2 linked regions of the Diceros bicornis minor genome follow. The main gene of each other region encodes a partner of the protein of the gene in region 2 in a complex. Links are inferred from orthologs where the notes say so. Each region holds a gene or a part of one and is shown on either strand. Other genes may lie near its edges.

What was found. The genes of interacting proteins can lie anywhere in the genome.
Region 1: CPSF3 (region 2) and CPSF4 share a complex: the UniProt entries of both Homo sapiens proteins name them as parts of the cleavage and polyadenylation specificity factor (CPSF) complex. The link is inferred for Diceros bicornis minor from reciprocal best matches to the Homo sapiens genes CPSF3 and CPSF4.

The regions. Positions count from the first base shown.
Region 1 is NC_080765.1:7,260,076-7,267,318, forward strand, and holds the start of CPSF4 (cleavage and polyadenylation specificity factor subunit 4), read right to left. Parts: upstream 3,019-7,243; 5' UTR 2,903-3,018; coding exon 2,800-2,902; intron 1-2,799. Other genes in the region: PTCD1 (pentatricopeptide repeat-containing protein 1, mitochondrial), read left to right, coding at 4,432-5,076, 7,172-7,243. UniProt on the Homo sapiens protein: Component of the cleavage and polyadenylation specificity factor (CPSF) complex that play a key role in pre-mRNA 3'-end formation, recognizing the AAUAAA signal sequence and interacting with poly(A) polymerase and other factors to bring about cleavage and poly(A) addition.
Region 2 is NC_080751.1:70,609,504-70,616,747, reverse strand, and holds the start of CPSF3 (cleavage and polyadenylation specificity factor subunit 3), read left to right. Parts: upstream 1-4,244; 5' UTR 4,245-4,721; coding exon 4,722-4,792; intron 4,793-6,740; coding exon 6,741-6,804; intron 6,805-7,244. UniProt on the Homo sapiens protein: Component of the cleavage and polyadenylation specificity factor (CPSF) complex that plays a key role in pre-mRNA 3'-end formation, recognizing the AAUAAA signal sequence and interacting with poly(A) polymerase and other factors to bring about cleavage and poly(A) addition.

The DNA of each region.
Region 1 (7,243 bases), on a different chromosome or scaffold from region 2:
AGCAAGGAAAAAGCTTATTTCAGCCATTCCCTGCAAAATGAGACATATACATTGAGACCAGTCATTACTCCATGCTTTCTGAAAGCCTTCTATAAGCAAGACGCTTTCAGGGAGTTACAAGTGGGTGGGAGAGGGAAGGATGGAGCACAAGATCACAGAAATTAATTACCCCTAGCTCGGACCTTCCAGAGGGCTAATTCACCGGCACTTTAACGTGAGGCAGGAAGCACAAAAAAGCAAATGGGGACTCTGAGGAGGGACAGGCTGCAGAGAAGAGGCGAGTGCCTCGGAGACGCTATTCTGAAAGGAAAAGCATAATTTAAGACACAGAAGGGGCCGGCCGGGTGGCGTAGCGGTTAAGTGCGCGCGCTCCGCTGCTGGCGGCCCAGGTTCGGATCCCGGGCGCGTACCGACGCACCGATTGGCAAGTCATGCTGTGGCGGCATCCCATATAAAGTGGAGGAAGATGGGCACGGATGTTAGCCCAGGGCCAGTCTTCCTCAGCAAAAAGAGGAGGACTGGCAGATGTTAGCTCAGGGCTGATCTTCCTCACCAAAAAAAAAAAAAAAAAAAAAAAAGACACAGAAGCAGGACTGCTCTTAATATGCAACATCAACACACAATTATTAAAGGAGCACAGTCTCTTGCTTACACAGATGCAGCCGGTTCAGGAGAGGGGTACAGGAGAATAAAAGCTGAACATGGTAGAAGTCAGTGGGCTCCAGGAGTAAGCTGTTCTAACGACACCAGAAATTCACCTGCCATGGCTACCAGAATAAACTGTCGTGGCTTCAAAAACAGTTTTCTCTATCAGCAGGCATTTTAGAATGGCTGAAAACCCACTGACAGCATCTCTGAAGGCCATTTACGTGCCTCTCCTTGCTAACTTGCACGAGATTCCTTGGCTTCTTAGAAGCAGGCAGATTTTGCTAGGACAGACTTAAGGTTGTAGAACTGGGAGTCATAACACTGTCATTCATTTGCATTTCAAAAAGTCTAAAAAGTCTTACACTAAAAAATGTATCACTTAAGAGTATTTCTGGGCCTTCGTTCTTTTCAGAGATTAAGGTTGCTTCATTACTTAAAGCCAGAAGTCTAGTGGTTTCAGGCGGACAGGATAAAAGAGCATGCCTTGAGGGCAGAACTGACAGCTCTTCCCAAAACTAAGACAGGAATGAAGTGCAGGGACAAGGGAGGAAGGGCTGTGGCCGCCCTGGGCTTTAACACAATGAACTCAATCTGAGGGCAGGCAGTGAGTGCTGAGGGCACCTACCAAGTCTGAGGTGGGAGGCTAGGGCCATGAGGCGGGAGGCTAGGGCCACACGCATGGCTAGGCTGTCCTTGACCCTCCCTAAGAATAGGTGTGTGGGCCCCTCGCCACTGTGCCTGCCCTCACAGACTCAAGTATCTGTGGTCCCAGGCTGAAAAAAGGTGGGAGGGAAAGAGCTGCCCTGCATGGACCTTCCATGGTCTCAAGCTAGTGCCACCAACACAGGAAAAGGCCACGTGTGCCCAAGTGGATGTACGTGTACAAGCATGAGGTGATCACATGCATCGAAGGGTAGATAAATAAGTGTGTATTTGAATTTGAGCAGTTCCTTATAAGACATGCACAGTGGAGATGGTGCTTGTGCACATATAAAATAAGGTTGTTTGAGGTATGTCTCTTGGGTATAAGCAACATCTCACACAGAAGTGTCAGCATGAGGGGGACACCTGAGGCCATGTGTGCAGAAGTGCACTTGAGGGGAATAAGGCTGCAGGGAGTCTCTACCAGACCAGGGACCGGTGGTTGAACACGGGCCAAAGTCCACTGGCAGCTATGTGAGACAGCACAGGGAACTGCAAACAGAACCAGTCAAGAACTCTGGAGAGCTTACCCAGCTCCCCAGGCACTGAGTGGTTTTCAGCCAGTCCCTTCCCCCACCCAGGCCTCAGTTGCCCCACCTGTGGATTGAACTCAGCGACTTCTAAGAGCCCTCTGAGCTTTAATGTTATAGCGTCAGACATCAACTGTATCCGCAAAGGTGAGAAGACAGGAAAACTGCTGGTTTCTTTTAAAGTCCTAGACATCCCACCTAAGTGAGGGCGTGGGGGAAGCAGGAGCCACCATGTGAAGGAGAATGGAGGGAGCCCAGGCAACTGCCCAGGTGTCATGAATGACCCAGAGTTGGGGTCCAGAGAAAAAGTGGGGATAGGCTCCCAGAAGTGCGAGTCCTAGGAGAGGAATGGAGCTTGAGAGTCTAACTGTGGGTCTCCGACAGAGAGGGAGAGGTGGTCCTTCCCTCAGCATGAGTCATCCAATATCCCAATTGGGATGAAAACAAGAGGAGGGCGCTCAAAGCTGGGGGGGGCTGGAGGTGGGAAAGGGGGCTATCTTAGTACTTTCCTGTAGTTAGGGGGAGGAGGGAGTAACTGCCAATCCGAGATAGCCGCCTTCATTCAAGAATTCTTTGAACAAGAGGACATGGTCCTGCTCTCCTTAAGATTGCCTTTTAAGAGCCCAGAGGATCGACGATCCGAGGAAACGGCTCTGGAGTCCGAGTGCAGGAAGAAGGGGATCCCAGGACCGGGGGGAAAGGACCCCCGGGACCGAAGGGGAAGAGCTCCCGAACCCGGGGGGAAGGCGTCCCGGAACCCAGAGAAGGGGATGCTGGGACCAAGAAGAAGGTCCCGAACCGAGGGGGAGGACATCCCGGAGCCCAGAGGACGGGCTCCTAGGACTGAGAGGGTCCCGGGACCGAGTCGGTCGCGCCCCTCGCCCGCCGGCCCCGGCCCCGGCCCCGGCCCCGCGCTCACTGTCCATGCCGGGAAAGGGCAGCGGCTGCGCCCCGAGCTGCTGCTCCACCGCGATCTCCAAGTCGAACTTGATGTGGTCCACGCTGGCGATGATTTCCTGCATGGCGGCGGCGGCGGCCCCACCGGCCCGGCTCCCCTTCAGGTCCCTCGCCGCGCTCACACCTCTGCCTTCCGCCGGCCCGGCCGCACACGCTCCGCCACCGCCTCCCCTCGCCTCGCCTCGCCGCCGCCGCCGCCGCCGCCGCCACCGCTGCCCGAGGGATGCCGGGAGCGCCTGGAGCCCGCGCCTGCCCGTCGCCCGTCCAGACCGGGCCAATCGAGCGCGGAGTACGGGCCGCTCCGCTAGGCCCGGCTAGCCGCCAGCCGAACGCCCGCCTGTCCTCTGGGCCGCGGGTAACCTGAAACCACGTGCACGGGGAGTTCGTGACGCGGGCTGCGCTTGCGCGAAGTCGCCTGGGGCGCGCACCAGAGGTGGCGGGGAAGGAGAGTAGGCTCTGCGGCGCGGCGAGGCTGGGACGCCACTGGGGGTGACGCGAGGCCGGGCGGGGAGCGAGGCGGTGCCGGGCGGGCGTGGGGCCGCGTTCACTGGGCCGGACTCTTCGAGCGAGTTGCTATTTGATCCGGAGCCCGGGACCTGGGCGGGGACAGGCCAGAGAGGTAGCGAGTTTCGCAGCCGGGGTCGGAGCCGGGGGCGCCCGGTGAGGAAACCAAGGCTCTGAAGGCCAGTGTGGACAGGGGTCCCGGTGGCCTGAGGGTCCGGGGAGCGTCGGCGGGCAGCGGGTACCCAGAGGAAGGACAGCGGCAGCGTGCCTCTAATTCAGGGGTTATTAGTCTGGGCAGGTTAATGAACTTGGGTAGGAAGAAAATGACACCTTTATTTTCTCTGTGTGAAATGGAGCATTGCTTTCCGTGACTGACGGACGAGTAGCGTTAGCTGTGCCCGAAATTAAGTCGTGATTTCAAGTGGGGACGAGTGCAAATGATAGTTGGAGACAGAGTATCTGCAGCCACTGCAAGCTGTCATTTACACTCAGCACTGCTTTGACATGATGGGGTCTTGTTATTTAATGCCTTGAAAAAGAAGCACGGGGCCCGCCCCCGTGGCTTAGCGGTTAAGTGGGTGCGCTCTGCTGCTGGCGGCCCGGGTTCGGACCTCGGGCTCGCATCGCCGCACCGCTTCTCCGGCCATGCTGAGGCGGTGTCCCACATACAGCAACTAGAAGGATGTGCAACTATGACGTACAACTATCTACTGGGGCTTTGGGGGAAAAATAAATAAATAAATAAGAAAAAGAAGCATGTATACTAGTATGCTATAAGTTTGTCTTTAAAACATTTTGATACTTATTTCAACATCATATTTGAATGAGGCACAGGGAGATCAAGTAATGGGCCCAGTCACAGCTCTGGCCAGGACTCAAACTCAGATCTGGCTTCAGTGACAGATGTCGTAGATCATGGCTTGAGAATAGTTTCTGTCCGTGGACTGCTTACTGTGCCAGCAGTGTACTGCACTGTGTATATCTGAGACCTCGTTCAGTCATTGCTACAGTGCTGTGTGGGCAACGTTGTAGTTAACCCCAGTTTACAGGCAAGGAGGCTGAGGCCAGAGCAGTGAGTGCCCAGGGACTCATGGATGGTTGTTTGGCAGAGCTGCAGTCTGAACCTAGGCTTTCTAATCTCGGTCTGGGCTTGTCACCACTTCTCTGTCTTCTTTCTGCTTTTTGTGACTGCGATCCTGAGTTGACTTCATTATTTTTTCTGACCTTTGTCAGGCCCTGGAGGGGAAAGCCAGAGATGGACCTCGTGAAACTTGCCCAGCTCTTCTCCCGCCCCCACCCCGTGGGACTGTCTCTCCTGCAACACCTTGACCCTCTCAGAGCCAGGTGGGCAGGAGGCAGGAAGAGGCCTGCATGGCTGAGGGCCGTGGGGCTGACTCGGCCAGCGCCAGCAGCCTTCAGCAGCTCCCTCTCTCAGCTGCCCGTGGGCCAGGGGAGCCAGAAGAACACGGGCAGCCTCAGCTCTGACCCCAGCCAGCCCAGCCCCACAGCCACCCAGGAGGAAGACGGGGAGGAAAGCTTTGGGACCCTCTCCGACAAATACTCCTCCCGGAGAATGTTCCGCAAATCGACGGCCCAGTTGTATAACCTGCGGCTCAGGGAACAGAGTGTTGAAGAAGACGAGGCAAGGGAGCTGGAGCCAAAATCATGGCGGGGCCGAAGAAACACCCCTTACTGGTACTTCTTTCAGTGCAAACACCTGATCAAGGAAGGGAAGGTGAGGGAACCTGTGGATTCTGCTGCTCCTGGCTCCTACTTGCCCATGGCTCGGTATTCTGTGAGGGGCCCTGCCTTCCCGATCTCTGAATGTTGGGGTGCTCAGGGCTCTTCTCTCCTCTGTCTTCACTCACCCCAGGTACTGCGCCGGGTGACCCGCCAGCCTCCTGGCTTTCAGTGCCAGCCTCCTCACTGCAGTTCTGGTATTTGTATCTCCAGCCTGGCCTTCCCGTGGACTCCTGATCTGTGTATCCAGCTACCTCCTCGCCATCTCTCTTACACCCACCTACATCCACCGAGATTGTTTTTCCCAACCTTGTTTTCCCTATACTTTCTTCATCTCACTGAATAGCAATCCCACTGTTGCATCTGCCCAGGCCAAATACCTTCAGGTCACCCCTACTCTTCTCTTTCTCTCACTGGCTCTAGCTTCAAAATGTCACCAGTCCTAACGCTTCTCATGACCCTACCCCAGAACACCCAGGCATAGCCTTCTCCTCGCCCTCCTCAGCTGTTACAACGCATGGCACTGGGCTCCCCGAGGCTCTCTCCTCCTCTTGCCCCGCCGTCAGCTGGCAGCACGGAGTCATCCTGTTAAAGCAGAAAGCAGATAATGTTACTCTTCTCTCCAGAACTCCCAGTGTATTCAGTGACATCGATGATGTTCACTTTCTTAGATATTGATAATGACATTCCGTTTCTATTTAAAAATCTCTTGGAGGTATGTGTTGAAGATTTTATGAATGAAATGATAGAATGTCTGGAATTTGCCTTAAAAAATACAGTTTGGGGGAGAGTGCAGGGTATAAATGAAACAAGATTGGCCAAACTTTATCATTGTACACTCTTCTTCACCATCTTATACTCTTCTTTCTACTTTTGTGTATGTTTAAAATTTTCCATAATGAAAAGTTGAGAAGTAAACAAAGAGAAGCCAAAGTCCTCACAATGGCTTATGAAGGCTGCAGGATCTGCCCTCCACACCCCTTATCTCTCTGCTCTCATCCCCTCTGCCTCACTTACTCTGCTGCAGCCACCTCAGCCTCCTCTCTGCTCCTCCAACTCCTAGGCACACTTCTGCCTCAGGGCCTTTGCACTGGCTGTTCCCTCAGATAGCCATATGGCTCCTTCCCTGGCCTCCTTCAGATCTTTGCTCATCTGTCAACTTCTGGGTGAGGCCCTGCTTGGCTGTCGTATCTAAAACTGAATCTCCCACACCCTTCTTCTGACACTTTTTGCTTTATTTTTTACATAGCACCTATCACCATTTGACATAGTATATATTTTTCTTAGTTATCTCATTTGGCGTCTGTCTTTCCACGCTAGAAGATGTACTCTATGAGGGAGCTCCCTCTTGCTCACTGCTGTATCCCCAGCATATAGACCTTGTCTGGTACCTAATAGGACTCAGTGATTACTGGTTGAATGAATGGATGAAATAAGATAATTAAGTGGTAAAGGAGTGAACTGAGGCTTTAAAGGGGATGGTGTAGGAGTAGGGATGGGGCAAAGACTACTGTGGGCCAAAGGGGTTTGCAATTGGAGGAAGCTAGTGACACAGGGCTGCCATCCTGTGCCATCTCAGGAGACTGTCGCTGTGATCGTGTCACAGCCCCCTGTGATCGTGCAGCACAGTGGCTCTGAGCATCCCTACTAAATGACTGGAACCCAGACTCCCATCAGTTCAGAGCCAGGGGGCTGGCACTGCAGGTGGGGTCACCGAGGAAGCAAGGGCAGGCAGATCCTGGGAGTCACAGAATTAACATTTTCTGAGGAGTTACTAAGTGCCAGGCCCTGGCTCCACTCGAGAGCCACAGAGATGCAAAGACATGGCCCCTGCTCTCAAGGAGTTCACTGTCCTGCTAGAGGGAAGGCAGCCGTGGCAGTAGGGCCGAGAGCTCCTCTAGGTGGTGGGTGTCCAGTGGGCTTTTCTTCCTGGCCACCACGAAGCTCCCTTGCTGCAGAGCACAGGGTGTTTGGCTCCTGGGTAGGCCTGGTCTTGGCCCCAGGGGAGGGTACCTCAGCCTCAGTCTCCCTCTCTTGGCTGAGGTTCTCTGAGGCCACCCTGAGCCCCCTCTTATGTTCCCCCCGCACAGCTGGCTGAGGCCCTGGACCTGTTTGAGAGGCAGATGCTGAAGGAAGAGCGACTCCAGCCCCTTGAGTGCAAC
Region 2 (7,244 bases):
TCCACATTCAATCAGGCACCAAAACTCACTGAATACACCGCCTGAAGAGTTCTCTCACCCACGTCTCTAACAGGGCCCCGGCATCATCACTAGACCATTGCTGTATATAAATACTTGTTCATTATCTGAAGAAAGCAGTGGATCCTCAACCCATAAAAATGCACACAAGCACAAAGTCTGGCATGCAATTTAAGGCATTCATGTCCCAACTGGACTCCTTGCCCCTTTAAATCTACTACCAAGCTCCAGCTAAAATGATTTCTTTAAAACTCAAATCTGACGCCGCCAACCTGCTTAAAATCTTTCGCTGGCTCCCCAAAGTTAGAGACTGAAGTCAAAACCTCTTCACCAGGACACACAAGATCCTCCATGACCCGGCTCCTACCTACCTCTCCAGTCTCACAACCAGCTTCACACCTGATTAATCTCTAAGGAATGCCAAGCTGCTGGAGGTTCTCAGCAGGCACTATGCTCTATGCTGCCATGCTTTGCTCTCGCCGTTCACTCTGCCTGGAATCTCCTTCCACCTTGCATTCACTCTGCTTTCAAGACTCAGTTCAGGCTTCTTCTCTTCTAGAACGCCCCCCTTGGACCTCCAGGTTGGGCTTAGGGACCTGTCCTCCACAGCTTGGGTATACACCCTGATCATAGCATATCATAGCACACACTGGAAAGTCTGCTATTGTCTACTTGTGACTATCTCACTCTATGAACTGTGAGCTCGTCAAAGGCAGCAGCAAGGTTATTCATCTCTGTGTACCCAACGCCTGGCACAGTCTGGCAGAGGACATGCTTAGTGAACTGGAGAACCTTCTTGGGAGATGACACGAAAATAACAACTCCCCTGCACTGAACAGCTGCATGTGCAGCCCAGTGTAGGTGCTCTACTGTGCACCTCTAACCCTTCTACTGCAGACCGGCAAGGCTACCCTATTACAGCCCCTTTCAATAAGGAAGCCAAAGCTACGAGATTAAGGGACTCGCCCAAGGTCTCCAAGCTAATAATGGGTGGGACCAAGTCTGGAACCTACACAGACTAGCTCCAAAGCTCTTTCCAGAGCCCACCCTGCTCCCCACGTATTCCTCACTGTTGTGAGCGCCTCCCACGTGCTGCTGCGCAGGATGACAGTAAACAGGACAGACATGACCTCTGCCCTCTGCAGTGAGGGATGGGGGTGGACGCGGAGGGAAAACCAACAGGAGCCGGCACAAAAAGTGAGCGCTCCTCACCGCCCCACAAGGCAGAGCCCGACACGGGCAGCAGCCCCGCGGATGCCCCATTCCCGTCGCCCTTCCCACGGGGCCGCTCCGCACACGACATCCGTCGTCACAGGTGCTGCGGTCCCACCCCAGACAGGAATCGGCACCGGGGCACTGCCTCCTCTCTCAGGCCGGGCCCACTCTCGGCTCCCGCCGCCCACCCCAAGCCGCCTCGGGGCCTGGGTCCCCGACCAGAGGAGGGCGGGTCCCCGCGGAGACCGCGGCCCCCGCGGCCCCACCCATCCGCCCCACCGCGGGCCTCCCCGCCGGCGTCGCCCTCGGGGCCCGCGTTCCCGGCCAGGCTCCGCCAGGGCGCAGCGAGGGCAGGGCTCTCACCTCACAGCCGCTGGCCCATCCCTGGGGTCGTCTGCGGTCGGGGTCAGACACCCACCGCCCCAGCAGCAGCCGTCGCAGCAGCCATTCCAGTGCTTAGTCCAGCGCCAGCTTTTCCGGGCCCCCTGGCCCCTACCGCCAGGCCCCGCCTCCGGCACGTCACGCAGGCGCAGTCTTGACCTCGCCCCAGGTTTCTGACCTCCTGTGGGGCGGAACCTCGCGAGCGGGGATCTCCGACCGGAAGTGGAGGGGAGGAGCCTAGTGCCGCGGGCGCCGGAGTGCCGGAAGTTGTGTTCTTGGTGGATGGCGTTCTGTCTGCGGGTCCCGGTGGCTGTGCTTCCAATTTAGGAACGCTCCAGCGACCTGTTCCTCGCCTAGTCTCTCCTTCAGACTTCCGAGATGTCTGCGATCCCTGCTGAAGAGAGTGACCAGCTGCTGATCCGCCCCCTGTAAGGGACCAGTGAGAGAGGGCAGCAAGCCGCGGGCTGCGAGAGGCGAGGAGTAACCCGGTGGTTGGCTCCTCAGTCGCCCCCGCGCCGGCGTGCCTCGGCCGCCTGCCCTTGGTCCGCAGCCTGGCTGACGGGGTTTGGAGATCTGTTGATCGGAAGGGGCGTGCTAGGTTGACTGGGATTTTGCTTTTCTTCAAGCTCAGGGGAGAGAATGTTGGAGTTGGGGGGCGGTCTTTGGGGCCCTGGACGCCTGTACCTAGAGAGTGGCCAGCCCTGAGGGAACCGGTGCTGCTGATGACGGCAGGACGAGATGAGGACCTGGATAAGGCTGTAGCAGTGCGAGGAGGAACTCAGTCTGTTGCTTGCTACCTCCAGGACTTTTTACATTTGCCAGGATGTGAGAGAGGAAATAAATTAGGGATTTGCTATGAGTTTTGATGTTCTGACTTCGGAGTCTAGCAGAATAAGGAAGGTAGAAGGTTGGAGAGAAGAGCAGAGGTGGTAAGGACAAAAACTCAGCCCTGGATTGTCTGGAAGAAGGCTGGTCTTTCCATGGAGATGGCCTTCTGTCGGGAGCACTTCACAGATCTGGAATGCTGCTGAGAAAGGGAGATAAATGTGGAGAACTTAGCCTCTCCATGGGCAATTCGAATCCACAAACGTGTTTGTTGTTAAATATTAGTTGGCACCACATGAATGTGCATTTTCAAAAGGTAGGAAGCATCTCCTTTACACGTTCATTCAATAAGGACTCATTGAGCACCTCCTGGGGACATAACACAAGTTTCCCACTGCTTAGTTCACACCTGTCACCTCTCCCTGTGTTCAGCAAACACCCAGCAAGTGTCAAGCACCACACTAGGCGCTGGGGATATAAGTAGGACAGAGGCTGAGTTAGTTGGATTCACCCTTTGAATGGAATTGCGGTGCAAAATGAAAAGTACTGGAGAGAGTTTGGAATAGTAGGAGAGCATGACTTTGGAGTCAGAGCTGAAGTCCAGTCCCAGCTCTATCACTTACTAGGACAGCAGCCTCACTGAACCTGTTTCCTCACGTGAAAATAATATAGCAACGTTTATTGTGAGGGGTAAAGGTCACGTCGGTGCTCAGTAAATGGTAACTGTTATAAGAGTATAGATGGACGTTGCACTGAGTGCCGTGAGAGTGTGAAAAACGGATTTCTAACAGAATGAGGAGAAGAAAATGCCATCTCATGCGTCCTGGAAAATATGATGCGTGAGCTGAGTCCTAAAGAATGAGAAGGAATTAAGGACGGGTAAAGTGTGGGGGCAAGGATGTTCCAGTAGAGGAAGTGGCACGTGTGAAAATGAGAGTGGTCACAGTTTGTGGCGAGTTTCCTCATGGCTGTGGCTGAAAGATTAGCAGATGAGGTGGAGAGGCTATCAGGGTCCATCTTATGAAGGGCTTTTTTTATATGTACTAAGGATTTGAGGCCTTTATCGTCAGGTGTATGGAGCCAACAAAGGATTTTAAGCAGGGTTGGGATATAGTGGGAATTATGTTTTATGAAGATCAAAGATCACTCCTAGCAGCAGTGCAGCAGATGAATGAAAGGGTGGATTAAGTGGAGGGAATCCAGTAGGATGAAATTGAAATAATAAGCAGTGAGAGCTTGGAATGAGTGAAATGAGCAACAGTGGAATAGAAAGAAACAGGTTTGAGAGAGTAGGGAAGTGAAACCTTTAGAACTTTGTAACTGATCAGATGCATTGGAAGGGGCAGTTGGGAGGGAAGGCAGGGCAGAGAGGAATGTTAGGGTGACTCGGATTCCTAGGTAGGCAACTGGTACGTGGTCATGTTATTCCCTTAAGGAGTACAGGAGATGGGGCAAGTCTGGAGGAAATTTGGGAGTTTTGTTGTTTTTAACAGCCTTATTAAGATATGTCACATACAACTTACTCATTTAAAGTGTACAATTCAGTGGTTTTTAATATATACACAGAGTTTTACAGTCATTACCACTGTCTAATTCCAGAACATTTTCATCATTCTGAAAAGAAACCCGGTACCCATTAGCAGTCACACCTATCTTCCTCGCCTTCCCTAGCTCTAGGCAACCACTAATCTACTTTCCATCTCTGCAGATCTGCCTGTTGTGGACATTTCATATAAATGGGTTACAGTATGTAACCTTCTGTTACTGGCTTCTTTCACTTAGCATGTTTCCAACGTTCATAATTTGGACTTTTTTACTCATTCAATAAGTATTTCTTGAGATTTACTGCATGTCAGGCACTGTAGCTATAAGTAGGGTGAACAAAATAGACAGTGTCTCTGCTCTTATGGAGCTTTCGTTTTAATAGTGAAAAACAAGCCATAAATAGGTAGATACAATAACTCCATGTAGTTGTGTTATGATTGAATGGTGTGAAGGGCAAATGAGAGGAGGTAGTCAAGAGAAGGCCTCTGAGAAGGTGACATTTGGACTGAGACCCAAATGATACAAAGGAGCCAATCATGTCAGTATCTGAGGGCAGAGCATTGCAGGAAGGTAGAAGAGCAAGTGCAGGGGATTGGTTGGGCGTATTTGAAGTTAAGGTGCCTGTGAGATATCCCAGGAGAGATACCTAAAGCCCAGGTGTAGATTAGAGGTCTAGAATTCAGAAGAACAATGAGGGCTACAAATACAGACTTGGAAATCATCAGCATGTCAAAAACATGAGAATGAAGATCACGAAGACTGAGAAGAGGGCCAAGGAGAGAACCTTTGGAATATCAACATCTGAAGGGTGGGCAGAGACAGCTGAGTGTGAAGGAAACTGGAGGAAGACCAGCAGGACAGGATGAGAGCAAGAAGTCAGAGAAACCAATGGAGAAGTGCTTAAAGAGGGAATGATGAATGAGGGTGACAGGCGGCCAAGAGAAGAAGTAAGAGAGGGACTGAAAAAGGCTGTTTGTACTTAGCAACAAAGAGCTGCTTTGGGGGCCTGCCTGGTGGCGTAGCGGTTAAGTTCTTGCGCCCCACTTCAGCAGCCCGGGGTTCACAGGTTCGGATCCTGGGCGCGCGGAGGAGTGTTTGGGAAAAGCCAGATTGCAGTGAACTGAGTGAGTGGAGGTGAGGACATAGAGGCAAAGAGTGTACACAGCTCTTTTAGGAAGCAAACTGGGAAATGGAATAAAGTGGGAACTAAAGGAGATTAGAATTAAGGGATTTTAATGTGGGGATGAGAATGACTGTAGCATGTTTAAATTCTGATAGTAAAGAGAAGATGGCAAGGGAAATGTTGATGATATGGCAGTGTTCAGTTCCTCAGGAGGGAGTGTATAGAGTGTAGAACCATGGTGAAAAGATTAGCTTTAGACAGAGAGGTCTGTGCTCTTGTTACAGGAGAAATGGAAGGAGAAAAGATGTGGGTGGGTTGGTAAGTAAAGTTGAGGAAGTTGACAAACGAACTATATTTTTTTGATGCAGAGAAGGTCCATGCCCCAAGTGAAGAAGAAGATAGAGGATTGGAAAATTTAGGAAAGGGGAGGAAGCTTGAAATCGTTACTATGGAAACTATAAAAGAAAACTGAGCTAGGGACGCTTCAGAGGGTGCATAGAGGGCCAGTTAAAATGGAAGGCCATGGGCCGGCCCCGTGGCTTAGCGGTTAAGTGCACACGCTCCGCTGCTGGCGGCCCGGGTCCAGATCCCGGGCGCGCACCGACACACTGCTTCTCCGGCCATGCTGAGGCCACGTCCCACATACAGCAACTAGAAGGATGTGCAGCTATGACATACAACTATCTACTGGGGCTTTGGGGGCGTGGGAGGAAGAAATAAATAAATAAAATTAAAAAAAAAAAAATGGAAGGCCAGGAATTCGTGATAGCACTATGGCTGTTTGATTCTCTTTGTTTACATCTTCTTCAGAGGTAGGACCTCGGTTTGAGGGTAGATCTCTTTTCATGTCTATCTCCTAGTAGACTGTGAGTTTCTTGAGGCCAGGATCCTAGTATTAGGCATTTCCATATGCTCAGCACTTAATACAGTGCTTGGCAAATAGAAGCTGCTTAATGTTGCATGAGTGAGTGACTCAACCTAGAATAGTTGGGGAAAGACATCAACGGAGGTGAGAGATTTGAAAACCAGGTGAGGTTTAGCTTAAAGTCTTGTGATAATTGGAAATTAAGGCTGTTATATTAATTTAAGAAGGAAGGAAGATTGTTTAAGTGCTTGGTATCAAATATACGAAATAACAGAAAGTAGAAAGGAAAGGGAATGAGATTCACAGGTATGAATAAGATAAGTCTATTTAAATTTAAGCTATTTGGTAAATGCATATTAGGATATTAAAGAAAATGAAAGAATTTTGAAGTGCTTATGGGTTTATACTTCAGTGCTAATTCTAAAAGTATTATTAAATAATCGTGTATCACTGCTAACTTATATTTTGAATACAGCATAATTAACCCTAACATTCAGAAGATTGAATTTAACCATCAGATTTCTCGGATCTGTACCATCTTCTCTCAGTTTTAACAACTGAAAAATCCCTGAACTCCCAAAGATCACTTTTCATCTTTTCCCACATTGACATGTTCTTCCCTGTCTTTGTATTTTTGTATAACTCTCATCGGCCTCAAGTGCTGTCATCAAATGGGGCATAATTTAAGTTGTAAAAAAGTTTGAATTTATTGGCCTTGATTTTGATTGTTTTGTACTCATTTCTGTTTCTCCCCTTGAATGTTTACAGTGGAGCTGGGCAAGAAGTAGGAAGATCATGTATTATTCTGGAATTCAAAGGAAGAAAAATAATGGTAATTATTATTTTGTAGTCAGGTTAACAGTATGGCTCTGTCAGCATTGGGTGTTAGGTTTTTTCTAGTACAGTAGTTATCTGTTTAGCTCCCAGAATAGTGTCATAGTTGGTATACATAGTCTGTGATGTTAATGTGAAAAACTAATGCACACTTCTACTTAGTAATTTGACAAAACGTTAAGTAAACCGAGAAGATATATTCCAAGATTCTCTCCTGAACTGTTGCTTCTTCAACTCTTGGAGGGTCTAGCCAACCTAACCGCCCCACCTGCAGTGGAAGGCCTCAAGGAACTGGCTGCCCCAAAACATGCAGAGCTCCAGCCACCCCAGTGCAGCATGTGATGATAGAGCCCTGGTTTGGCAGCTTAGCTACCTAAGTTAGCATTAGGGCCTCTGACTTTGGGCAAGGCAGTGTGAGCCCATTTCCTTATCTGAAAG